Saccharomyces cerevisiae S288C: one gene and its partners. The protein of the gene in region 3 interacts with the protein of the main gene of each other region in a biochemical or structural test. Each region holds a gene or a part of one and is shown on either strand. Other genes may lie near its edges. The genes, in order: PTP1, LTP1 and FPR3.

What was found.
Region 1: of the proteins of FPR3 (region 3) and PTP1, one has a biochemical effect on the other in vitro, tested with the Saccharomyces cerevisiae proteins (one study listed by BioGRID).
Region 2: the proteins of FPR3 (region 3) and LTP1 form a complex in vitro, tested with the Saccharomyces cerevisiae proteins (one study listed by BioGRID).

Annotation. Positions count from the first base shown.
Region 1 is NC_001136.10:39,076-44,207, forward strand, and holds PTP1 (tyrosine protein phosphatase PTP1), read left to right. Parts: upstream 1-3,624; coding exon 3,625-4,632; downstream 4,633-5,132. Other genes in the region: BRE4 (Bre4p), read right to left, coding at 1-3,169; Hsp70 family ATPase SSB1, read left to right, coding at 4,990-5,132. UniProt on the Saccharomyces cerevisiae protein: Is not required for vegetative growth.
Region 2 is NC_001148.4:691,433-701,829, forward strand, and holds LTP1 (tyrosine protein phosphatase LTP1), read right to left. Parts: upstream 987-10,397; coding exon 501-986; downstream 1-500. Other genes in the region: CCR4-NOT core subunit NOT5, read left to right, coding at 1-357; transketolase TKL1, read right to left, coding at 1,364-3,406; OPY2 (Opy2p), read right to left, coding at 4,305-5,387; YPR078C (uncharacterized protein), read right to left, coding at 5,715-6,833; MRL1 (Mrl1p), read left to right, coding at 7,437-8,582; TEF1 (translation elongation factor EF-1 alpha), read left to right, coding at 9,162-10,397. UniProt on the Saccharomyces cerevisiae protein: Acts on tyrosine phosphorylated proteins, low-MW aryl phosphates and natural and synthetic acyl phosphates.
Region 3 is NC_001145.3:119,323-131,280, forward strand, and holds FPR3 (peptidylprolyl isomerase FPR3), read right to left. Parts: upstream 2,003-11,958; coding exon 767-2,002; downstream 1-766. Other genes in the region: 60S ribosomal protein eL6 RPL6A, read right to left, coding at 3,905-4,420, 4,836-4,850; TCB3 (Tcb3p), read right to left, coding at 5,408-10,045; Golgi transport complex subunit COG8, read right to left, coding at 10,427-11,958. UniProt on the Saccharomyces cerevisiae protein: Proline isomerase that belongs to an abundant class of enzymes that catalyze the cis-trans isomerization of X-Pro peptide bonds and can accelerate the refolding of proline-containing polypeptides. Specifically binds nuclear localization sequences.

The DNA of each region.
Region 1 (5,132 bases), on a different chromosome or scaffold from region 3:
TGAATAGGTTCTTCTCCATAGAATTGCCTCCTGAATTTAAATTCGAATGTGATTGGTCCTTCATTTCACTAAATTTCTTGATGAAGTGGTAAAGTTTTTTACGTGACATAATTGGATTTGGCAAGTATCGCGGTATCTTGTTTTTTGATCTGAAACAATTGGATAAAATGTAAAAAACGAAAATCACTGATGAGACACTATCTCTTCGTAGCGATAGTAAGGCTCTCGTGGTTTCAATATCAAAATCCTGATCCCAAATTTCAAAAAATGCACCTGAAATTCTCGCTTCAATGATCTTAGATAACAAAAATTGGCATGAATTGATTAGACTTGCGTACTTCTCAGGATTGAAGTTGGAAATAATGATTGGCTCATGACGGGCTTTCTTCAAAAGTTCCCTGATTGCTTCAAGACTTTGAGTCAGTCTAACTTCACGAATGTGGGAAAATGCGAAAGTTAAATCAGTAGGTGCGTCGTCGGCATCCCTGTATAAATACCGGTCCGCCACGGTTTGGTAGGACTGGCCCAAGTGTGCCAGTAATGATGACATACTATCTCTTAGTTCTGTCCTAGCTCTAAAGGGCCACACTATCCAGTTGATGGGAATCGAAACCAAAATACCGATAATAAGTGCCAAGCCTGTAACCCACGTAGATTTCCATATTCCAGCGGTGGTTAAGTTATAATGTCTATTAGGTTTGCTGTATGGTTCAAGAGCAATTATGGTAAAGCACATTAATGCAGTGAAGCTCGATTTGGTGTTTCTATAGACAAGAAAGTTGATGCTAAATGGGACCACGATCAGACCAGCAAACGTGCAAACCACGTATGGACTACCAAAATGTCTCGATTGGTTGGCAGCCCACCCCCAAAAGATACCTACTATACCACAGATTAATCTCCTCATTACCAACGCCCAGTTACCAGAGTATCTTCTATGTGCTAATAAGTAAAACGTGAGTGGGGCCCACCAACAATGAAATTCTTGGTACCAGTGATAGGATTCAGGTAGCCAAGTTGGTAGACACAAAAATATCATACAAAAAGTAATCTTTAGTGTCCACTTACATTCATCACCAGATAAAATTCTACTCAATTTCCATAGTTTAAATCTCCAAGGATTTTGAGTTGTATGAAAATTGAAGTCGTTGTGATCAATTGCTCTGATGGAAATAGTGTGGTTTTTGCGATTCTGTGACTTTTCGTCACCACCTTGTGAATCAAGTCTCAGCGCTTCTTCTTCGCCTTTGTTATACTTGTGTCTTGACGTGTAGGTGTTATAAACTCTTTCAAAAATTTCATCGACATCACGTTTGGCCTCAAAATAATGAAGAACATTTCCTGCACCTTCATCGAGAACACATTGTTTGGGCAATCTTGTCAACGCACGAGACAGTGGATATGATGGCAGAGCAATTCTCCAGTGAATATTCTCACCCAAAACTTGGCAATCGTGGATAACAGTAACTAGCTGCCTTGCGGAGTTTCTCAAATATCTTAGAAAAAGGAAAATATCGACAGACTCTTCGTCATTCAACAGTTCCTGTGAAAAAAAACTAGAATTCACAAAATCCCTGTAACAAACATCTAGTTTGTAAATTTTCCTCTTTAATTTAGAATGCGAGTGACTTAATATTTTGACACACTCATCTAAGTTGTTTTTTTGATTTGGAGACTCGTATTTCTTTAGTACTCTTGATAGATTTTCCAAAACGAAGATCATTTCCAGTATTAAGTTGAAGATGCTTTTCGAGAAGGACGCCTTTAATGCATTAATGTAGATTTCATTTTTTAAAAGCCCCGGACCGATAGGCTTAAAGGCACTGGGCGTGTTTTCTCTTGTTGGAATTCCTGAAGATTGAGGGCTAGCGCTTGCTTCTTTGCTCAGGGTCGCAGAATCCGATCTATACTTCTCCAATTCTTCATACATCTTTTTCAATTCATCATCATTAAAAATTTTGGGTGCAATGGGTAATACTCTCAGAGAAGTTTCCATGGCAGTTAAAGAATTTCTTAAACTCTTCAACGATTGAAGGTCAAACCTGGAAATTGTCAACTGATTTACAAAATCTCTAAAACCTTGAGATAAATCAATGTTTAGTGTTTTCACCATTTTTACTTGGGCTAGGTAAATTTGTTCTTTGGACTTTATTAATTCAGTATCTACTAGTGCCATTAAAAAGGTCTTTGTGGTCTGTAGACACTTGTTATAATGTTCCATTAACTCTGCATTGCCACTATGTGGTGATACACATACACAAACCAAGAGAGATAGCAAAAGGCCGAAGAGATATGAGATTCCAAAATCCCAAAAAATTTGCCACTTCAAATCAAACTTGGATGAGGCCAACCGAACTGTATGAGTGAATATAATCGATATCGAAAACGAAGTTGTGAAATAGAAGAACCGACGGTAAACAGACCTTAGCCAGATGGCAAATAAGAGGGCCATAGTCAGACTCTGAAATAAAATTCCTCCCTGGTAGTTTGCGGTCGGCTTTGTCGCTGTGGAAATGTACCATGCCAAAGCCGACCATCCCAGGCCAAAACTTGCGCCGATAATGGAGCTTATAGTCATTTCCAGTTGAACACCAATATTTCTGACCGGATGATGTATAAGTACTGCGATGGGTAGAAAATACCTGAACTCATGGCCAATCCACCTACCAGAAGGCCTGATAACGCAAATCACGATAGCAATGAAATAAGCAATAAAAAACTTGAATATGGATACCCCATTTTTTCTAATATCTCTAGGGAAATGAATAATGGGCCTGTAGATAGCAGTCCAAACATATTCGGAAAGCTTGGTAAAACCAGATTGCAGTTTTTTCCTTGCAGCGCCATTGTCGTCATCGATGTCGCTGTTAGGAGACCTAGCTTTGCTGTCCGGCTTGGTAAAAGCAGCATCAAAAAACCCATCTCTCAGCTCTTCCAGCCCAAAGTCCTCTACTTCCTCCCAGTGTTTGTCCTTAACCAAATTTTCCAGCCGCATTTGCGATAAGGATGCCACGGATTGTTGTGGGCTTCCTGCAAAGCTAAGCCCGCTTATACCGGCAGGATTCTTATAGTTAAGTTCATGTAGTGACCTGAGTGATGTTTGAGAGTATGAACCTTTCACAATATCAGGATCAGGAGTGGGACTTCGATCTCGCTCATATCTTTTCATGAGGACCTGTTACAATTCCAGCACTATACTGTACATGCTTTCCTTAGTGGAGCACAAAGCAAGTTAAAAATGAACTTTAAATTGATTAAAGTGTTAGTGACGCTTAAACTCGTTTTCCTGCGCGTATTTCACGCAATCTATACATAATCATCTTTGATAATGTTATATCGCCTTTCATTTCCAGATTTTGTTCACTGAAAAGTCTTATCGGAAACCTAACTTTGGGCGACAGGGTTATTGTTTATAATTTGTAGGTGTTCCATTTTTTTCTTTGTACTTTTTTAGGTTAACGTAATATTTAATTAGGTCATTTTTAGGGCGTTTAGTATTAGAAAAATTCATTTGTACACACTATTAAGAGGAAGGCAAACTATATTTACATTTTATTGAGGAAAAGGGTTCATCGAGGAGTTATCAAGAAAAGCGTTTGTTAGTAGTAGTTTGCGACAGTGGAGATGGCAGCTGCACCATGGTATATTAGACAGCGTGACACGGATTTATTGGGTAAATTCAAGTTCATACAGAATCAAGAAGACGGCAGATTAAGGGAAGCTACAAACGGAACGGTGAATTCACGATGGTCGTTGGGGGTCAGCATAGAACCTCGTAACGATGCTAGAAACAGATACGTTAACATTATGCCGTATGAGAGGAACCGCGTTCATTTGAAGACTCTATCCGGGAATGATTACATTAATGCCTCGTATGTCAAAGTGAACGTGCCAGGGCAGAGCATCGAACCGGGCTACTATATTGCTACTCAAGGTCCCACGCGTAAAACTTGGGATCAGTTTTGGCAAATGTGCTATCACAATTGTCCTTTAGACAATATTGTCATTGTGATGGTCACGCCTCTGGTAGAATACAATAGGGAGAAGTGCTACCAGTACTGGCCTCGCGGTGGTGTAGACGATACGGTTAGAATAGCATCAAAATGGGAAAGTCCGGGCGGCGCCAATGATATGACTCAATTTCCCTCTGATTTGAAAATAGAGTTTGTTAACGTACATAAGGTGAAGGACTATTATACGGTCACCGATATCAAACTCACACCCACGGACCCTCTTGTAGGACCTGTCAAAACTGTTCACCACTTTTACTTCGACCTTTGGAAAGATATGAACAAGCCAGAGGAAGTAGTACCCATAATGGAATTATGCGCTCACTCCCACAGCTTGAATTCCCGCGGGAACCCCATTATCGTACACTGTTCCGCAGGCGTGGGCAGAACGGGGACGTTCATTGCCCTAGATCATCTCATGCATGATACCTTGGATTTTAAAAATATTACAGAACGGTCAAGGCATTCAGACAGGGCTACAGAGGAGTACACACGGGACTTGATCGAACAGATCGTGTTACAGTTGCGCTCGCAAAGAATGAAAATGGTTCAGACAAAGGATCAGTTCCTATTTATCTACCATGCTGCCAAGTATCTTAACAGTCTTTCCGTGAACCAATAGACAGCTATATAAAAGTTCCTAATTGTGCATTTTTTCAATAACAATACTTATTCATCCTTATAATTATATTCTAGCTTCGTTGTCATGGGAACATAGCCCATACACCGCAGTTATTTATGATCATTTCGAACGGGAAGTATGGATGAATCTTTTTTTTTTTTTTTTTATAGCACGCAACTGAAAAAAAAAAAAAGAAAAATTTTTCATCTTCGCTCGACGTTTCTTTTGTAGTACTCATCTCTTTTTATATAAAGATTAATTAGTTATTGTCGCTTTGCTTTTCCTTCTTTAAAAAATGTTTCTTGCTTTTGGATTTTCAGATGTCCCAAGATCATTACAGTATTTTAATTGAACAAAATGGCTGAAGGTGTTTTCCAAGGTGCTATCGGTATCGATTTAGGTACAACCTACTCTTGTGTTGCTACTTACGAATCCTCCGTTGAAATTATTGCCAACGAACAAGGTAACAGAGTCACCCCATCTTTCGTTGCTTTCACTCC
Region 2 (10,397 bases), on a different chromosome or scaffold from region 3:
AATAAGTTCGGTAAAGATAGTAAAGCAAAATCTAAGAAAGATGATGATATCTATTCCAGAACCTCACTAGCCAGAATATTTATGAAATTTGATCTTGATACTTTATTTTTCATATTCTATCATTACCAAGGATCATATGAACAGTTTTTAGCTGCTAGAGAACTTTTTAAAAATAGAAACTGGCTATTCAACAAGGTAGATCGCTGCTGGTATTATAAAGAAATCGAAAAGTTACCACCAGGAATGGGCAAATCTGAGGAGGAATCATGGAGATACTTTGATTATAAAAAAAGTTGGTTAGCGAGACGTTGCGGTAACGACTTCGTATATAATGAAGAAGATTTCGAAAAACTGTAAACAGTTTCCTTTTACTTATATAATTCTCATCGTGATTTACTAGGTAAATGTAGTATTCAAAATCTCCAATTTGTACTCTTTAACTTCACCTTCACATATTATCTTTTTACTCGATGTAGACCGCACCATCATTACTTGCTAGCTTATAACTCTTTTTTTAAAAACTGTTTGGAGAAATAGGTGATTTGTTTGAAGTTGTACTCGAAATCTTGTATGTCACCATACCAAGGATCTTCAATAATGGTCTGCACAGTGCCATCATTAGTATTCCAATCACCAAAAAGGCAAACTTTAGCTTTAGAACCTTCAGGTTGTATTTTTTTTAGGTTATTAATGTTGGATTCATCCATACCGATTATATAGTCATATTCATCGAAGTGTTTGGTCTTTATTTGTTTCCCTTTATGATTAATCTTGACGCCATGTTGCTTACAAATGGACACTGTACGATGATCAGGGCTTTCCCCCACATGATAATTAGAAGTGCCAAATGAATCAATCTTGTTGAATCGATTTTCTAGATTAGCCTTTTCGACTTCATGTTTGAAAATGGCTTCCGCCATTGGTGATCTACAGAAGTTACCCAAACAAATGAATGCGACCGATATTTTTGGTTTTTCAATTGTCATTTTCGTGTTAACTTTCCCTTCTCAGTTTTCTATCGCTTATCAAAAATCACAGGGTTTCAATTAGCCTTTTAGGAGTTATATTCTTTATTGGCTTTATACTTGAATGGTGTGATTCTCTCGAAGGGTTTAACATTCAAGCTCGGCCATGTGCTGGTACAAGGAAAAAGAAAGAAAAAGTAATCATTGAAATTTTTCTATAATACGTACACCTATAATATAAGAAGGAAAAGGACTGAGTGTTTGGAATATTGTTAAAAGTTTGAAACTATTTTTTTGCTTAATCGTTTATAAAAAAAGTTGTATTTAAGTTGTATAAAGTTTTATTTCATTTTTTCACAAATAATATCATATCAAATCTGATGATCTACGATCAGAATTTAGAAAGCTTTTTTCAAAGGAGAAATTAGCTTGTCACCCTTATAGAATGCAATGGTCTTTTGAGCTCTTTCAGCAACACCTTCTGGGGTGAAACCGAAGAACTTGAAGACTTCTGGTGCCTTACCGGAGGCACCAAATCTGTCAATACCGAAGGATTGATGAGCGTATTTGCCCCAACATGTGGTAGCCAAAACTTCAACAGACATGATTGGAACGTTGTCTGGTAAGACTGATAGTCTGTATTCTAGGGGTTGTTTGTCAAAAGTGAAGAAATCTGGTAGAGAAACAACACGAGCCTTGATGTTCTTTGCGGCCAAAGTCTTAGCAGCTTCAACACTCAAAGACACTTCGGAACCAGTAGCCACTAAAATAATATCTGGGTTAGCAACATCTTGTAGTACGTAACCACCCTTAGAAGCGCTTTCAATAGAGCTACCTTCCAATTGTGGCAAGTTTTGTCTGGACAAAGCAATGATACTTGGAGTATGCTTGGATTCTAAAGAGTTCTTGTAGGCGGCAGAAACTTCGTTACCATCAGCTGGTCTCCAAACTTGAATGTTTGGTAGGGATCTGAAGTGTGCTAAAGTTTCAATAGGTTGATGTGTTGGACCATCTTCACCGACACCGATAGAGTCATGTGTAGCAACCCAAATAACTGGGTGGCCAGACAAAGCGGACAATCTAACGGCACCAGCAGCATAAGAAACGAAGTTCAAGAAAGTACCACCGTATGGTTTGTAGTTGGCACCGAAAGCTGAAATACCGTTCATTATGGCACCCATAGCGTGTTCTCTAATACCGTACCTAATGTATCTACCAGAGTAGTTACCTGAACCGGAAGAAGGAGGTTGGAAGTCAAGGGCTTCCTTCCATCTGGTCAAGTTAGAAGGTGTTAAATCGGCAGAACCACCAATCAACTCTGGCAATTGATTGTAAACATCCTCAAGAACAGTTTCTGATAATTTTCTAGTGGCCACGGCAGAGTCCTTGGCGGTGTAAGTTGGCAACTTAGATTCCCAATTTGCGGGTAGTTGGCCGCTCAATCTTCTAGCCAATTCAGCACCTAATTCTGGGAATTTCTTTTGGTATTCGCTGAACAACTTGTTCCACTTGTTGTTGGCTTCGACACCTGGCTTTAAAATTGTCTTTTGGTAGTGGTCGTAAACTTCTTGTGGAACAACAAAGGACTTGTCTGGGTTGAAACCGAATTTGCTCTTTAGTTGTTTAACATCATCTGCTTTCAATGGGGCACCGTGCACAGAGTGAGAGCCGGCATGCAAGGAACCGTAACCAATGGTTGTGGTCATTTTGATCAAAGTTGGTTTGTCCTTGGATAACTTAGCTTGAGCAATAGCCTTGGCAATACCGGCTAGATCTTCGTTACCATTTTCTACGTACAAAACTTCCCAACCGTAGGCTTCGTATCTCTTAGCAACATCTTCATCGAATGAGATACTGGTAGCACCATCGATAGTGATCTTGTTGTCATCGTAGATGGCAATCAAGTTACCCAATTTCAAATGACCAGCCAAGGAGGAAGCTTCTGAAGAAATACCTTCTTGCAAACAACCGTCACCCAAGAAAACATAGGTGTAGTTGTCAGACAAGGTAAAGCCCGGCTTGTTGTAAGTGGCAGCCAGGTTAGCTTGAGCCATGGCCATACCAACAGCGTTGGAGATACCTTGACCTAATGGACCGGTAGTAACTTCAACACCTGGCAACTCAAATTCAGGATGACCTGGTGTTCTGGAACCCAACTGTCTGAACTGTTTCAAGTCTTCAATAGACAGATCGTAACCAGTCAAATGTAGCATAGAATACAACAAAGCGACCGCGTGACCGTTAGACAAGACAAATCTATCTCTGTTGATCCAGTCTGGGTTGGTTGGGTTCATGCGCATTTGACTCCATAGAACGTGTGCAGCTGGTGCCATACCCAATGGAGCACCTGGGTGACCTGAGTTGGCCTTGGATACGGTGTCCACAGCCAAAATTCTTATGGTGGAGACGGCTAGCTTATCAATGTCAGTGAATTGAGTCATTTTGTTTGCTAAAGAGGTAACTATGTAGAGTTGCTTGGGATGAGCTTCCTTCTCTGTTGTACTTCAGTTTGATCTGAAACTTAAAAAACGAAATTTAAAAGGAAGACAACGGTGAGAACAAGAAATGAATGAATCAAGAAGTCACGATCAAGTATGTAGGTAAAAGATCAGGGGGGAGTATGTACGTAACCAAAAAGATTGGGAAAGAGTTTATATATGAATCATGCCTACGATCGTACCTTCTTGGCTTTCCCAAGAAAATTTTTCATCTCTCGAACTTCTCGAGAGATTGCGAACGGAACGGCAAACGCCGCCGGCATTTCTCGGAAAGAAGACTAGAAAATAAATGACGGTGGGAAAAAAAGCAAGAAGCTACGGTTACCCGCAGCGGCACTATAGTAGATGGGCTTTTAAGCCCGTTTTCAGGGTCAGGTAATATGTAATGTAGTAGCACTTAAACTTGCTAACCATAAATGACCAAAATGCAAGTTTGCTGTATTTTAGTCCCGTTGGCGTTTTCGGATGCTTCATTCCCCAGAGAAGTGATGTGTATGCGAAAAATGTCTCAATGCAGCTTTGGCTGCTGCGGAACTTATCCGCTTTGTAAGCACATCTTGTTTTAATGTGTATGAATTTTTATATTTGGTTCGAAAATTATGACATTCGGCCAAGAAACTTTCAGAGGAGCTGTGTATTAGCAGATGGTAAGCGCACGTTGAAAATGCTGAATATTATTAATTTAGACATACCTTGATGGCTGAACAGTAGTCAGAAAATTAAAAAAAAAAAAAAAGCGCTTATTACGGCGTATACACGTAACTATATAGACGTAGATCATTGAATATTGATATGATATAATATTTTCCCCGGGATTGCAGAATACTGACACGCCTTTTATTTATCGTTCATCGTGTATTTCGAACTTGTCCTCAAACGGGCTCTCAGTGCGACTGCCCTGGGTGCTCTCGCGTATCGATTCTGGAATTTCCAAGTCCAGTATAAAACTTCCTTCTTCATCGTCATCTTCGTCGTTATTACCATGGCTTGCCTCGCTTTTTGCCATGTGTGAAAGATCATCCGCCTCTGTCTGTTCTTCAATGACATCCAAGTCCTGAATCTCCTTATCACTCTCTTCCTCTGCGATTTGAACCAGTTTAGGTTTAGCACGAATAGCAGTTATGAGGTTATCGTCTGCGTCCTTATTGAGTACCTGGTTATGCTCGTCATCTTCGTCATCCAGACCATCCAAGATGGAAGAACCTAAGGTTATATGTGACCTGATATCACCAGCTGCATTTTGTCTCTTAGAGCTCGAGCGTAGTTTTGATTGCAGTTTGTCGGTACTCAAACCGCTTGTCACACCAGGAATGTAGGCAATAGGCAAAATATTAGAAGCCCTTGTACGAGTGGTAGATGCTGAACTTCTGTTTCCCGGCACGTTGAGAGTTGGAGGTACCAGTGACGTATTGAACAGGGTGTGACTTTCATCTTTTCTCATACCGCCATCATCCTCATCGTCTTCATCATCATCGTCTTCATCGTCGAAGTATTCCTCTTCATTCCCGTAACTTTGCGATGCCTCTTCCAATTTCAAAGCTTTATTTTTTTGCCTTTTGGGCTTCCAATATCTCTTGTTGATGAAATACAACGCCACCAAGGCAATAAGCATCGCACCACCTACAATACCCACGGTGAACCCCACAATCAACGAGGTTTTCTCATTTGAATTACTGGAACTAGAACTAGAGGAGGAGGAAGATAAACTACTCAGTTGTGAATCGGACTGTTTCGCACAGTATGTGGATGGGCACTTGTCACATGTTAATGAAGTCATAACACAATATTCTCCTGAAGCGCAAACAGGGCATGATGCAGTTGAATCGCAAACAACACATCCGTCGCTGCCTCTAGTTGCAGAAGTTGAAGAGGTGGCTGTGCTTGACAAGGATGAACTTGCAGAAGCCTTGGAGGAGCTCGACATTTTTTGTTTGATTTTCAGAAAACGAACGTAACCAGTTTGATAAATGTGGTGCCTCTCTTATTCGGCCTGGGAAGCAGTGCAACAATAGCGCACATTATAATCATTTGATTTTAAATTCACCCCAGGACAATGGGGCATTATTTTCTGTTGAGAGGGTAACGCGTTGTTTATTGAGAACTTAACGCGTTTCGATTTCAAGAATGCACTATAGTGCGGAAATGTAAACAGAATTTATTGATACTTGGCATTATTTGAATTTTATTTATATCTTGCCCGAACATGTCTTGACACAAGCAAGGAACGTTTGCTCATTAACCTTTTACACGGTTATGCTTGTACCAAAGGCTGATCACCTGGTTCGGGCACAAAACAGAGTTTAGTTTCCAACTGTGTTTCCTTTCCCGGATCAGATGATGGTAAGGGAACGGTAACGGCGTCTTCATCTTTACAAGGTTGGCCCTTCTTAAGATTTTGATGCTTTGTAGTCCATTTTTTGAATCTTCCTTGCAAAAGATAAATTTCCCTTCCCAAATTATTTCTAAGTGTGTCCCACACTCGTGGCACGTTTTCTTGATTTTTGTCGCCAAAATTAGCACTCTTATGGAAAATACGGAACATACCACCGCTGTTATTTTTAGAACTACTCTTTTCAGAGCCGAGCATATCAAGAGAAGTCCTGACATATCGGTATTTCAAAAGAGTCTTTTTATTCTCTTGCAAAGGAGGCCCGCTAATAATGCTTTCCGTATCATCAGTTACTAGCTCCTTTTTGATATTTTTCCCAAATGTGGGACTTATGGAGGTCTTCTCAGGTTCAGAAGCGGAGTGAATTTGGCAGGTTTCATCAATTTTAACTAATGTATCGTCATTTTCAAAATCGTCAGGTGTTAAGGGTGATATAATATTCAATCCATTCATAAAATCATCAATATCACTAAAATATGGTGTCTTGCCCCGTTCCATCAAGTCCTCTCCATATCCATATACTTTATCATCGTTTACCTCTTCCAGATTATTATCAGATGGTAGGGCTAATTTACTCTTATTTTTTCTAAACCACTTATTCAACCTCTGTCTCCAATCACGATCATAGCGGCCATGCAATTGAGAAAGACTCTTCAGCTGCGTATTTGAACTGCTTTCACTGTCAGAAAAATTCTTATTGGTTTTAAACCAGCCAGAACAAGATCGGAAAAAAGTATCACTTTCAGTAACTTCTTTAATCACTTTTTCCAGCCTGGCAATTTCTTGGTCAGTTTTATCGTGAATATGATCAACTCTGACACCTAATTGTGCAGTCTCATTGATTAACCTTCGTAAATCTTCGCTTTCAGTCAAATGCGTTGTTATTTCAGCTTCTTCGTCAAACTGGAAGGTTCGTTCATCATCAGACCTAAGCTCTGAGGGGCTTAATACTGTTGGTAAGACTCCAGAAATCGTTTGCATGATTGATATTTTATCTTTTTATATGATTTTGTTTTTTAGTTATACTTACGCTTGCTACCCTTACTTATGAAGTCAGTCTCTTTTGTTAGCTTTTATTACAACACTTATGAGAAATTTATAAAAAAATCCCAGGAATGCTTTCACAAATTATCCATTCTACATAAAATCTTTTTTTATAGTATTACTTTTTTGTGACATCAAAATGAAGCACTAAATAATTATAGAAAATATTCAGCAAAAAAAAAGAAAAACCTTCTTCTGAAAAAAAAAAAAAAAAATTCAAAAAAAGACACCTTTCTACCTTGGCAGTAAATTTCAAATTAATTATTTACCAAACTGTAGTTCCCGCTCACTAATCCTTTCTTATACTTATTCACATTACTGTCACTTTGCGGCTGTATTTGGCCGCGTTTCCCTTTCGGGTGCAGGTACAAGAGGTATCCGAAACAAGAAGGGTTAAGTTTTGAAGAAAATGCCAAGTATTTCAATTTCAATAATAAGAACGCAAAACTACAGGAGACTCTTACTAAGCATACTACTTCTCAAAAAAGGGCTTTATTTTATAGAACATAAAACATACTGTAGGATCGCACACTGGAAAATATGTTGAAACGATCATCTCTAATATATCTATCATGTGTCCTAATCATTACCATACCAATACTTTTGCATGTATACAATGGTCCAGGACTGTCCCATGAAGCCAATGAACATAGGGCTTCTCACAAGCAAAAAAGAACGTTAGCAAATCCGGATAAACCCAAAAGCGAAAACGATGAAGATCTATTTTGTGCGGTAACCAACCCAGTCACCGGATCATACATAGATCTATCACAGCTATCTTCAACTCCCAACAAATTAAGGGAGGGCCAAAAACAGATTTCTGGCAATAACAAGCATGAATCCTCCAAGACGAAGTGGTCAGTGAGAGGTTGGGGCTACGATACAAACTTCACGTTAGGCATCTGCTCTAGTCCTGTCGGAGAAGCTGAGTCGCAACAACTGTCCAATCTAACGGGCGCTTTTTACGTAGACCAGTTGAACGAAAATAATTTAGTATCGATTGGAGACTTCAGTACAAGGCCTGCGTTAGTCGGCGGCTCTACTGCCAAGAAATTAACTCTCAAATACGAAAACGGCTCTATGTGCCCGAACGGGAAGGACAAGAAGGCAACTTTATTGAATTTTGTCTGCGATAAAGAAATTCAATCAAAGGCCCAGATATCATACATTGGAAACCTACACAATTGCTCGTATTTCTTCGAAGTCCGCAGCATTCATGCGTGCCCCACCTCAAACAAAAAGAATGAAGTTAACGTTTTGGGTATCTTCATCGGTATCTTCGCTATATTCTTTTTAGTCGAATTTGCGGGGAGAAGATGGATCTATGCTAAACTAAATAGGCATTTGAAAAACGACGACGAGTTACACGACATATCGCCATCTTTAAATGAGCAACCACACTGGGACCTCATAGAGGACGGGTCTCGCTGGAGTAAATTTTTCAACGGGATAATTAAGACGACAAGAAGGTTCACGAAATCTTTAATGAGGTCTTTAGTCAGAGGCAGGAACAGCCGTCAAGGGGGCATAAGACTACGGTCATCCCCATCTGCCTCTTCGTCCAGCCTTGCCAACAGGGAGTTCTTCAGAGACATGGAGGCTCAAAACGAAATTATTGACAGCCTAGACATCAATAGTCATACAACAGAAAGCGACCACCCAACTTTGGCTGATAATAGCGTATAAACAATGCATACTTTGTACGTTCAAAATACAATGCAGTAGATATATTTATGCATATTACATATAATACATATCACATAGGAAGCAACAGGCGCGTTGGACTTTTAATTTTCGAGGACCGCGAATCCTTACATCACACCCAATCCCCCACAAGTGATCCCCCACACACCATAGCTTCAAAATGTTTCTACTCCTTTTTTACTCTTCCAGATTTTCTCGGACTCCGCGCATCGCCGTACCACTTCAAAACACCCAAGCACAGCATACTAAATTTCCCCTCTTTCTTCCTCTAGGGTGTCGTTAATTACCCGTACTAAAGGTTTGGAAAAGAAAAAAGAGACCGCCTCGTTTCTTTTTCTTCGTCGAAAAAGGCAATAAAAATTTTTATCACGTTTCTTTTTCTTGAAAATTTTTTTTTTTGATTTTTTTCTCTTTCGATGACCTCCCATTGATATTTAAGTTAATAAACGGTCTTCAATTTCTCAAGTTTCAGTTTCATTTTTCTTGTTCTATTACAACTTTTTTTACTTCTTGCTCATTAGAAAGAAAGCATAGCAATCTAATCTAAGTTTTAATTACAAAATGGGTAAAGAGAAGTCTCACATTAACGTTGTCGTTATCGGTCATGTCGATTCTGGTAAGTCTACCACTACCGGTCATTTGATTTACAAGTGTGGTGGTATTGACAAGAGAACCATCGAAAAGTTCGAAAAGGAAGCCGCTGAATTAGGTAAGGGTTCTTTCAAGTACGCTTGGGTTTTGGACAAGTTAAAGGCTGAAAGAGAAAGAGGTATCACTATCGATATTGCTTTGTGGAAGTTCGAAACTCCAAAGTACCAAGTTACCGTTATTGATGCTCCAGGTCACAGAGATTTCATCAAGAACATGATTACTGGTACTTCTCAAGCTGACTGTGCTATCTTGATTATTGCTGGTGGTGTCGGTGAATTCGAAGCCGGTATCTCTAAGGATGGTCAAACCAGAGAACACGCTTTGTTGGCTTTCACCTTGGGTGTTAGACAATTGATTGTTGCTGTCAACAAGATGGACTCCGTCAAATGGGACGAATCCAGATTCCAAGAAATTGTCAAGGAAACCTCCAACTTTATCAAGAAGGTTGGTTACAACCCAAAGACTGTTCCATTCGTCCCAATCTCTGGTTGGAACGGTGACAACATGATTGAAGCTACCACCAACGCTCCATGGTACAAGGGTTGGGAAAAGGAAACCAAGGCCGGTGTCGTCAAGGGTAAGACTTTGTTGGAAGCCATTGACGCCATTGAACAACCATCTAGACCAACTGACAAGCCATTGAGATTGCCATTGCAAGATGTTTACAAGATTGGTGGTATTGGTACTGTGCCAGTCGGTAGAGTTGAAACCGGTGTCATCAAGCCAGGTATGGTTGTTACTTTTGCCCCAGCTGGTGTTACCACTGAAGTCAAGTCCGTTGAAATGCATCACGAACAATTGGAACAAGGTGTTCCAGGTGACAACGTTGGTTTCAACGTCAAGAACGTTTCCGTTAAGGAAATCAGAAGAGGTAACGTCTGTGGTGACGCTAAGAACGATCCACCAAAGGGTTGCGCTTCTTTCAACGCTACCGTCATTGTTTTGAACCATCCAGGTCAAATCTCTGCTGGTTACTCTCCAGTTTTGGATTGTCACACTGCTCACATTGCTTGTAGATTCGACGAATTGTTGGAAAAGAACGACAGAAGATCTGGTAAGAAGTTGGAAGACCATCCAAAGTTCTTGAAGTCCGGTGACGCTGCTTTGGTCAAGTTCGTTCCATCTAAGCCAATGTGTGTTGAAGCT
Region 3 (11,958 bases):
CGCTGAGGTCTTCCAACTCTTCTCCAGAAGGCTTTTCTTTCCCTTAGTCCACCCGATAAAAATGGGGCCCTTTGAAATTCCGTTTTGTAGCTTAGTTTCTCGGACTTAAAGCATGTGCTCACCATACTACCATCACCCGAATGTACAGCCAACGCCACTTTAGTGGATAATAAGTCATGATAGTGGACGAACAATCGGGGTAAAAGGGGTTGGAAGAGAACGGCTGGAATCCATCAATCAGCAGCGTTTAACGGTTCTAATTTTCAGTTACAAGGATGATCAACGAGAGCCTTATTTCTAATGTTCCCTAATGTATATGTGTTCCGGCTACTGTTTAGCTGAAGAGCTGTGTCTAGCCTTCCTGGCGGTTATCGTTCACAGTCAGCTTGCGCTTTATTTCATTAACATCGAACTAAATACTAGAGGCCATAACCGCAATTACAGCTGCGGCGATAATCTAATTTAACGTCAATGTCTGAATTCTTATTGCTTTGAAGATTTCTTCACCTTTCTTGACGACCATCCAGTAGCACTCAGTGAAATAGGAACAGAAAGAAGATAACGCTTTTTTTGCCGCCATATATTTCTTTCTATACAACACAGCTTCTTTATTTGTATCATCCGCGGAGAAAAGTAAAATGAAAAGCTTATAAAGAGCAATAGATACTAAAAAGAAATAGAATGTTTTCGGATTTACATACAGAAGGTTACAATATTATGTAAAAAGAATAATATATATAAACATCTATCCGTACGAGCGCGTGTACTAGTTTTTCATAGAAACCAATTTAACGTCGAATGTCAGTTCGGAATTGGCAGGAATACCTGGCAGAGCTTGCTTCCCGTAGGCATATGGTGCTGGAATGATGATTCTACGTTCGCCACCAACAGACATACCGGCAACACCAATGTCCCAGCCTTTGATAACTTCACCACGGCCAAGTTTGAATGCAAATGGTTTACCGCTGGTGTTCTTGTCGAAAACTTTACCGTTCTTTAACTTACCAATGTACCTCATGCCTACTCTGGCACCTCTCTTAGCCTGTGGGCCATCACCGATAGTACGGTCTTCGATTACTATGCCGCCTTCCAAAACCTTACTCTTTGGTTTATGCTTATCTTGTTCCTTTTTGCTTTTGGGTTTTGTTGGACCCTCCTCTAAGTCCTTCTTGAATTCGACCTTCTTTACTTTTTTAGCTTTCTTTTCTTCTTCTTTCTCTTCGTGCTTTCTCTTTTTTTCCTTTTTGCTTTTCTTAGGTTCTGGCTTAACTTCTTCTTTTTGTTCTTCTTCTTCTTCTTCTTCTTGTTCTTCTTCTCCATCATTATCTTCTTCATCTTCTTCTTGGACTTCTTCAATACGAACTTCTTCTTCCTCTTCGTCATCCAAGTCGTCCATGTCGTCGCCAATAATTTCATCCTCATCTGGGGTCAAGTCGTAGTCTTCACTGTCATAGATGTCAGCGTCTTCATCTTCGTCTTCACCTTCGACTCCCATTGGAGTATCAAATGGATGCTTAACATAGTTACCGCTCAAGGAGATAGCGTAAGAACCAGTGACAATGAATTGGACTTCTTCTTCTGGAGTAATGGTCAAGTCCAAAGATTGTTGGTATTGGGCTTCCGGAGATAAAGTCAAAAGGACGGATTCTTGGAACTCATCGTCCTCGTCATCGTCTTCTTCATCATCCTCACTTTCACTTTCAGCCTTCTTGCCTTTACTCTTCTTTTTCTTTTGGGTTTTTTCCTCTTCTTCTTCCTCAGAGGATTCTTCGTCTATTTCGTCTTCATCAAAATCACCACCTAAAAAATCATCATCTTCAAAGTCCGGGTTTCTTTTGATAATTCTTAAAGTCGATGGTTTGTTCTCTTCATCGATGGCTTCCGGGTTCAAAGCAGCCATAGTAATACGAACGGTGATGGGCATCGTGACGTCGATTGCTGGAACCGGGGTATAAGGTTCAACATTCAAACTGTAGGTAGCTAGTGGTAACAAATCAGACATATTGGGCTGGTTGGATGCTTGCTTTCAATTATGTATGAACTTTCACACAATTATGTATTATATAGAAACGTGTTAGTAGGCTCTTTTTTCGAATTTAAAAATTTTACCTTCACTTTTAAATTTTGCCGTCCTTTAGGAATGACGACAGTCCGTAGAGGGCTGAAAATTGAACAGCGAGCTAATACTAGTGGATTCTAATCAATGGAACATGAAGCATGTATCATAATCTCTGTTCTTGCCGGTTTTGACTATATAGATGTAGATGCAATCCAGATTTTAGTGAAAGGTAGAGGAAGCAAGCCAGTTGAAAAAGGTAGAAAGTATGCGATGTGTCATATACATTTGGCATATTCTCCCCATAATATCATGAACAGGTGATAGTAGAATGTTTGGAGCATTGATGACAGATTATTTCCAAAAGAAGTTTGATTGTGCGATCGCTCTCTTTTATGTTCTTTGATGCATTTTTGTACAATATATTAAAGTAACAAATCGGCGAAAGAACGTCAGTAATGTGTCGTTGCCAACCGTAAAGTGCTCGATGATTAATTTCACAATACATTTCAACCAAAGTGTTTTCATTCAAATACTGGCACAAAGGTTTGTTTTTCTAAGTGCCTATGGTGTGCGATAAAATGTTTTTGATGGAACACAGTTCATTGCTCAGAAAATACGCCATTTATCTATTTGTGTCGTTCTTCCTTCCAAGAATTACAAGAATTTTATTTTTTATTCAATGCTCAATCGTCTGCTCAAGGACTTCTGGTAAGTTACGTTAAATAATAGCTATGGCGCTTTTCTCATTTCTATAATGCAGAGTTGGTGGCTATAACCGTATTATCGATGTTATTACCGTTCGAATATATGTAAGCTTAACATTGCCGCATTAGTTTTGCTTGAAGATGCTCTGTCCATATTTTGTTAACCCGTCTTAGAATTGATCATTGCTTGCTTTAAATAATGAAGATCTTTTGACGAAGCCAATGACTATGCTGTCTTCAACTTTTGGCAGTAAAGCCAATTCTGTGAGAACTCGCGGGGAAACTCCAAAGCACACTTAGAGAATAAAAATACATGGAGTCGAAGCATGACTCGGATGATTTCTAACGTCCTGACATTTACTCGAAAGTATTTCACTACCAGTGGGGTAAAGGACAATATCGACGTCCGTTGGCTATGTTGGTAACTGAGATGAAGTTGTAACAAATTCCTGCAGGATGCTTTTACACTCACCGGTTGCATTTTCCTCATTTCATAGATAACAAAGTAAACAGAGCGCATTTTTTGGAGTATTTTATACGTCAATGCGACTTTGATACCTGAAATCCCCTTAATATTGGTAGGAACATTGGGCTCAAGCGATGCATTTTCTCTTGCATTTTGTTTCTCACTATTTGTCTTTTCTACTTTCAATTTTCTTATCTTTGTTCTATTCCCGTTCCTGTTCTATTCCCGTTTTATTTGCTGTGAGCAGGCCTTGTTATTGCCAACGTTTAAAACCATTTACTTTTTGTTTAAAAATCTCTCTTCTATTTCCACATCTCACCTAAAACAACGATCATTATATAACATGAGGTGTATTGTTTTTCCTCACCATACGATCAAATATAACATCACAAAGCTTACAGCAGAGCGACACTTTTTTGCTTAACAATTTGTATTTTGTATGATGCATCCAAGTCTTGCGCCAAGAAAGTCTACATTATAGGAAAGATCAAAGGAACTTGAAATAATGTATTCCTTTTTCTTTTCACGCCCTTTCTCTGGGTGATTGCCGCAATGAAGATATAAATATGCGAATAAAAAACCAATGCTCAATACAAATGCACTTATGAAACTGTAGTTAAATTATAATTTTACCTGCATATATATTATTATAGAAGTTCGTTAAAATAATTATATTTAAAATTTCAACATGTGTGGCTTGTCACCGTTCTTCAAAGAGAAAGAAGCAGACAAGTATTGCTTCAATAATGGAGTCTTCTTGATTTCAGCAATCAAAGCCTTGTCGACAACCTTTTGGTCTTCAACACGTTCAGCCTTGATTTCCTTGTTTTGTTGTTCTGGGAACAAGTTAGCTTCCTTCTTTTCCTTCTTAGTCAATTTTTCCTTAGCAAAGTATTCGACATTGAATTTTTCAACGTTGACACCTTCGACAGAAACCTTAGTAGAGGTAGCAATGACGTAACGAGCATTGACTCTTCTCAAAGGAACACCATTGACCTTGAATGGACCAGAAATCAACAAAGTGTTGTCTTCTAGATGCTTCAAGTAAACAACTCTCTTACCTCTGAAACGACCAGCTAGTAAGATCAAGACGGTACCTGGAACTAGAGAGGCACGCAACTTTTGTGGGCGAGCAGCCTTTCTGGTCTTCTTTAGAGCAGCGACGTCTTCGGATGGATACCACTTTGGAGCCTAAATGGAAAAAAGAAATATCAAACGACTAATGTTAGTATTCTTGATTTGCGAATGGTGATAAATTTTTATAGGGAGAGATTATGCCTAGCGATTTGAAACTGTAACGTGGGCCTTTGTTTGGAAACTAAATAATCATGAGCTAGGGTCGATATACCTTATTGCTTTGCTCACCTTCTCACTCATAGTATTAACATTGTGTTGAAAGGTATACTGCCTTAATCATTTATCCTCACTGTACACTGTATAACGTCATTTATCAGTTTTCATTGTATTATTTTGTTCGACGTCCTGATCTTATTGTTTCTTGTATGGATATGTCTGAGATTGATGGCATCATATCAAATTTCAAAACTTATGCCTTCGTGAATGTAAATTGACATCTCCCCCTCGAAATTAACATGTAGGAACATACTTTTTGGGCACTCATTTCGTTGGATGGCTATTACTTTGTTGTTTCGCCTAATGTAAAACTGATATTCAATCTTTAATGAGTAGTACATTTAATCTATTCATGTAACCCTTCCATTCGATAACCTCCATACCAACGAAATTTTGCAAAAGGAACAAAGCACACTCCAGTGGGAAACTGGACAAATCCGGTGAGTCCTCCCAGACGGGAAACGTGTCTCTCGCTTCTGTTGTCCGCCCAGCGGAGAAGCCCTCTCCAGAACGCTTTAGCCGCAACCGCAATGGTCTAGGCGGGCCGCTTTTCGAATCTGGTTAAGGAAAAAACTGAAGAAAAATATAACAAATCCATACATTTTAATAATGTACGGATTTAATAGCAGTCTTCACATTTCTTTCTTCTCCCTAAGCAGTAACAGGAGAGCGTTGAAATATGTTGTAATATATGTTGTAATATATTATAGTAAATATAACGTTATATAATAATAGCGCAAAATTATAACAAACACAGAAAAGACACCTGTTAACACACCAAATGTGCCCTTATTGAGCGTATAAAAGAATAGTTTTCACTGTTTATTACTGCGTGTATTCTTGAGGAACTTCTGGCACGGGAGGTACCTGACCATTCTTGTCTTTACCGTAATTAATCTTTACAATCAGATGACCGTCTCCTAATTTTACAGAAATTTGGCCATCTTGTTGAATTTGAGGGTCACCCAAGTTGATTTGAGCAATACCAAGATCTTTGTCCCTCGATAGTCTTTGATGGGAAATTGCACCCAGTACCAAATTGGCTTCGGGAGAAGCCTTGAACGAGCACTCTTCATCAAATACGGCAACACCATCATTATTGGCTTTTTGGCTTTTCGTTTTGTATATGTGTTTTAGTCTACCACCTTGAGTTAAAGAGATCTTAATTTGAACATGCTTGGCAACGTTTTCCGCAGCAACCACGGTAATAAAACCATTGTAAGTGCCATGAGGAGCTAAAGTACGCGCAAAACTGCTTGCACGAGAATGTCCTCTAGAGTTGCTACTAGGGGTATCTTTTTTGTTGCTTGAGCTAGAAGTGTTGTCAGTTGGCTTGACTACAGGAGATGCGCTTTGAACGGGCGCGTAACTTGTGTTAGGTACTGATGGATCATAGTCTAGTGAAGCTCTTGGTGTTACACTAGTGCTATTCAAATTACTTGGGGATCTCCTATCAAAAGATTTTTTCTCTGATGATTTTTTTGCACCGTTGGACTCATTTCCATTGCTGCTCTTGCTTCTTTTCATTGGATTGCCACCTAGAGATTTTAGAAGGTGACCACCTTTCTTTAAACCACCAGTGGCAACTCCTGTTGCTGCTCCTATACCAGTACCAGCTATGCCAACAGTTGCATGGGCTGCACCACTGGCTATTTTCATCGGCTTATCAGTGATACCGCCTTTCACGATATCAAAACTTGGCTTGATATATTCTGGGTTGAATGAACCTTGTAATTTGATACTTCCTTGTGTGTTTAAATTCAAATTCCAGTTGTAAGTTTTACCAACTTCTAATGAGGAAACGTCAAGTGAAGCTTGGCCTAAGTCGTCATTATCACCTGCACGATCCCAATCAAGAACATTAAATATGACTTGATTCTTACTTCTTGAAAGGATTGGTATTTTAGCATCTTCGTTCCATACGGGATCCAATGTTTTCTTTTTAATGTTCGATTTGAAAACTTTTTTATCATTGACAAAGATGTGAACAAATGGATCTGAATAGCCATTCCTATCTGCGGACTTCAGACCGTGTCCGGAAATAAGCTTTATATTCAAATAACCAGTGTCTTCAACACTTTCACTGCTAGGCAGTTTCACGCTAGTGGGCGTGTACAAAAATCTTACCTTCATTTTAGACCCATTGAAGTTTAACCACATGGGCTCTTCGTAAGCTTGCTTTAGTAGCTTCAATGTACTATAGGAAGTTTCGGATATGACATCATCTGAATCTTTGGCAATATGTTTCTTCGATACTCTAAAATGTAGTTTACTGTAATTCAAATCTCTAATGAAAATATTTGCCATCTCCGAGTTTAGTTTACCTTGAGATGGTTTCATGCAAATGAATACAGGGTACGAAATGTCATCCGCTAAGATTTCTAGGTAAGCAGAGGATGGGCTCAAAGTCCCTTCCAATATTTGCATAGACAAAATACCAGATTTTTGCTTGATCAACTCGTTTAAAGATAACTTGGCCTTCCTGTTTATTTTTTTTTCATCGCTGTCAAATGGGTCTTCGATCTCGGCAACTTCCCATTCCTTTGGATTTTTTTCCATCTCTTGCTCGTTTTCTTCTTGGGTAGCTTCGAATTTTTTCTTCTTTTCCTTCAACTCCTTTTCTAGTTTCTCAACATTCACCAACTCCTCAGGGGAATACACCAGATTGATTGGGATAAATGTTGTTGAAACATTGACAATGCTTTCGGTAACTTTGTGTTCGTGGTCTTTTAATTTTAGTTTTGAAATTTCTTCTTTGCCATTATTCCCAACATATTTTCCTGATTTAGGATCTTTTTTGAAAACATTTGATGTAGGAATTTGTACAGAGCCAATGAAACGGTCTTTGCCGATCTTTTGATAATCATGAAATTCGAGAGTCAAAATTTGATTTGGAGAGAAGATAGGAACGTAGGTGCTGTTGTCAAAAATGGGATGATCCGTATCAGAATGATATATGGACTTGTAAAGAACACGTCTATTCAACGATACGGTGTAATATGGATCAACATCCCCTACACCGGATAAGTCACCCTTGATAATGGCATCCTTAACGTCTAGCTTAATACAACCAATAGGTTCGCTTACAGAGTTTGCAGCGGCAAAAGCTCCGGTCATTTCAATTGATTTCCAAGAAACATCCAAATAAATGTCACCTTGTGGTGAGCCTTTAACAAACTCTTGAGCAGTGTCTAAAGTAGTCATTATATCATCTAAAGAAGATGAATACTCACAGATCAGCGCCTTACCATTCATTCTGTCATCGAATATTTTTAGGACAAACTTAGAGTTAGATTTTGATGGAACCAAAACTTCGATGGTCTCATTCCAAGATGGCTCATTGATACGTCTCAAAGTTCTATAGCTCTTTACTTTTTGTCCATCAATGAATAATTCAGCACATGGGCTCAAGCTACCGGTCATAGAACTGGTTGTATCCAGATATTTGACCTTTTGTAAAGTGATCTTGGCAATCCCGACATCAGTTTGAGAACTTTCTTCATTCTCGTCTTCTTCTTTTTCAGTAGTGTCCTCGTTTTCATCTTCTTTCTTGCCCTTGGCCTTAGCTTCGGCACGCTCAACTGCTTTTTCCTCTGATTTATCTTCTTTCACAGGGAACCAGTGTAAGGAATAATGTAAAATACCTTTTGATTTTGTACCGGATCTTAATTCAGCAGTTTGATTATCCAAAACAGGGTTTTGTAGTAAATCTGCCAAGTCAAGTTGAAGATCACCAATTACGGTATCTTTTCTTACATCATTGAAGTCAAAGCACTTTAAGTTTAACTTTTGCTCTAAGGTGTTTAATAATAGATATTTGGTTTCGTTCCAACGTGGATTTTTAACATTTGATTTGATAGATGTACGCACTTCTTCATCTGTACCAGGCACAGCATCTTCGGTAGTCATAACAATATAAGGATCGACAGTATTGGTAATGAAATCTGAGCCTTTCAAAGAGTCGGCAGAAGCAATGGTTACGGCAAGGACACCAATAGCTTCTTTTGATTGAGCAGCCATAATGTCTTCAACATTAATATCCAAATGGTTCGGAGGGAATAGCATAGGCCCTATATTGGAGTTGATAATGTTTTTAACAAAACTCTTCAAACCAGGCAAGAATGACATAACATCAAGACCTAAAGTATCACCACCAATTGGTTTCAGTGCGAAATCAATCAAAGGTGGTTCTAAAAGTTGTAAAGAAACAATTTTGATATTTGGGAAAGCTTTACCAAATTCAACTTTAATACGCATTTTACCAGCAACGTTAATGTCTTCAACCAAAATAGGCATTGTTTTAGAGACAAAACTTTTTCCTAACGTGACACCCAGAGATATTTTTGGATTGATCTTCTCCCTAGCTTCAGTAGCTGTCATATCCGAGACATCGCTTGGGGTGAATGCAAATGACCAATCCATTTCAACAGTGTTTTTACCAGTCTTGGTGTACGATTTAATACCTTTTATGGTGGGAGCTTTAGAGCCCAGAGTGAATTCATCGATAGCTAACGCATCGATACCGTAACCTGGAGCAACACCTGCCAGTTGAGGGTTAACGTTATCTTTGACTTGTTGAGATAAAACTGGCATGTAAATCACCCAAAATTTTGATAAAAATGAATTCAACCACGTAGTGGATTCAACGCGATCCGACAAGGTTTCTTCGACTGTAACTCTTTTCAAGTCATCTCTGATATTTCTGTTGAATCTTGTATATTCTGCGTTGTAAACGGTCGCAGTTCCCAAGAAGATAAATATCATAGACCACCATGAAAACCCAATGTAAGCAAATAACCATGAGAAGAAACAAGTTCCAAGAACGGTGGCTATATTACAGTACCAATCGTTATAAAAATTTTCCAGAATGTAAGCTTTTATAACCCTGGACATCTTTGTATTTGGCGAACCCTTTCCTGAAGCATGGAACTCACCAACATTTTGCCATGGAAATAACTTGTCGTCGGAATCTAGGTGAAATTTTTCCTTAATATCCTTTTCATCAAGTTTGCCTAAGTCGTCTAAGACGCCAGGCTTAGTAATCGAAGTGTCGAATTTATTTGGCTTCCTAGATGGTGCTGATCTGAATTCCTTCGGACGTAAACCTTCCAATGGCACGGCTCCTATGCTTCCCTGTGGGTTGGGACCGGGCAATTGATTGGTTTTTTGAGCGCTGGAGGCAACAAATATGTCTTTTGATGACTGTTTCTTACCTTCCGGGTTGGAGTCAGCAGTTTTCTGACCTTTAGACACATCAGAAACTGAATTTGAGGTCTTTGTGTCATTTGCGTCATGGTTAATCAGTTGGTGGTATTGATGGTGACCCGATGGAGCGTGATCAGAACCCCTTTCTTGTTGATTTATGACCTTTTGAGGTAAATTGCCTCCTACTTTCTTCTTCTCCTCCTCATGAAATAGGGTACTATCAGGTGGGGGATGGACTTGAGCTTTGATGCCAGTCATTTTTCTTGACTTTCAATGCGTAGCTCTACTTATTTTCTTTCTAGCAATATTGCGTATGTCAATAAACAAAGCTAGCTAATGATGCTCTTTATATTGTTAAGAAGAAAACTGATTAAATTAAGTAACGCTAAAAAGCAAAGTTGTCTATCAAAGTGAAATGTATCGCAATTGGAAAAGGTAAGTGCAATTCTAAAGGATGTAAGGTACAATTATCCCTTTTTCCCTTTCTGACTGCAGCAGTGTGTTGTAAAGGTATACATACATTCTCGTATTGTTGTTTCTCCCCCTTCTCGCGCTGGCGAAGAAGTGAAAAAAAAAAATAAAAAAATGGAAATTTCGGACGATCGTCATTTTGAAAATACATAGTGAGCCAATATTATACTAGGAGTATATATATTTAGAGGCCAGTTCTGCTCTCTTGTCAATTGCCCGGGCGAGCTGCTCGGTCGTAAACAAGCTAGTGTCATTGATTTTTTTTAGGAAGAGGTGGTGGTAGTTTCGATTCAGGTCGCAAAGACGGAATGAACAGTACACCAACTGCAGGCAAACGGAGTCACTCAGCTTGATGCTATTTAACCCACGAGTGAGGTCTTTTAATACGTATGTTATGCACTTATCAACGAATTGCAACATGACTGCATTTGTAGGTATTTTGTTTTCCCTTTTTGAAGTCCGAATCTTTTTGCTTGGCTCCTCTGGGGTCACTTCAACCTTATTAATTTCTTCTTCTTCTTTTTCTGCCTTGTTATCTATGCTTTTGCTTGGCTCTTCTGGGGTCACCTCAACCTTATTAATTTCTTCTTCCTCTTTTTCTGCCTTGTTATCTTTGGTATTTACTTCTTCCTCTTTTTCTTTTTCAGCCTTGTCTTCTGTTTTGTTTACTGTTTCATTTTCTATCTCATTTTCTGTTTTCCTTTCTGCTCCATCATCTTCGCCTTCCACTTTGCCTTGTACTTCCTCTTGTACATCTTCTATCGATTTATTTTCTGTCACATCTTCTTCATTGTTCGCTACGCTATCTTGTTTTTGATATTCTTCCTTCTTTGTTTCTTTCTCCTTTTCTTCAATTTCTTTCTCTTCGTTAGTCCCATTTATCCTTAGCACAGTACTTTCTAGTTCCTCTGGGAAAGGAATCTCTAAGTCATTTGTATCATACAAGAAGCTTTTCAGAAAGACATTCAAGGACATGTAGACATGTTCCCTGAGGACTTCAATTTTCCTCTTAACCATCATTTCAATTAAAGATTCATTAGAAGACTCAACGTCCAAAGGATATGATGCTATTTCATCGGTAATGAATTTGTATCTCATGGCTAAAAACACACTTAATAATGATTTATTAGTCTTTCCATCAAATGGTGGAATTGAATTCAAGTACTGTAGTATTTTCTTTAGTGAGTTTACTGATACATTAGTAGACAGTAATTTTACCAGCCCGGATAACATGGTAGTACTAATTTCGTTTAAAACTTTTTCGCAAACTTCATCCACAATGGTTGAACCAGGGAATCTTGACCTCAGGGAAGTAGTGTGTGTGTATAGCATGACGGCCTCCTGGTAATGACCTGTTCTGATACATGTGCGGGCCAAAAATGGTAGTTCCATCAAATCCGTAATGCTATCCAAATTTTCTAGTACAGTGACTAATGTGTCAGATCTAATGTCGTCCTTGTCATCTTCTTTAGTTGAAATTCTGTTTCTTAACCTACTTAATGCCTTGTGAAACTCATCCTCCTTCTTCTTTCTTGCCAGATTGTTACTCTCAGTCGTCATGATGCGACCTGTGTCGTTGTCTTCTTTATCGTCTTCCAAAAAGTCATCAATAGAAACGCTTTCATTGTTTATATCGTCATTTGTAACGTTTCGATCGGCTGCCTTATTAATATTAGTATCCAATTCCCATAATTGCTCCA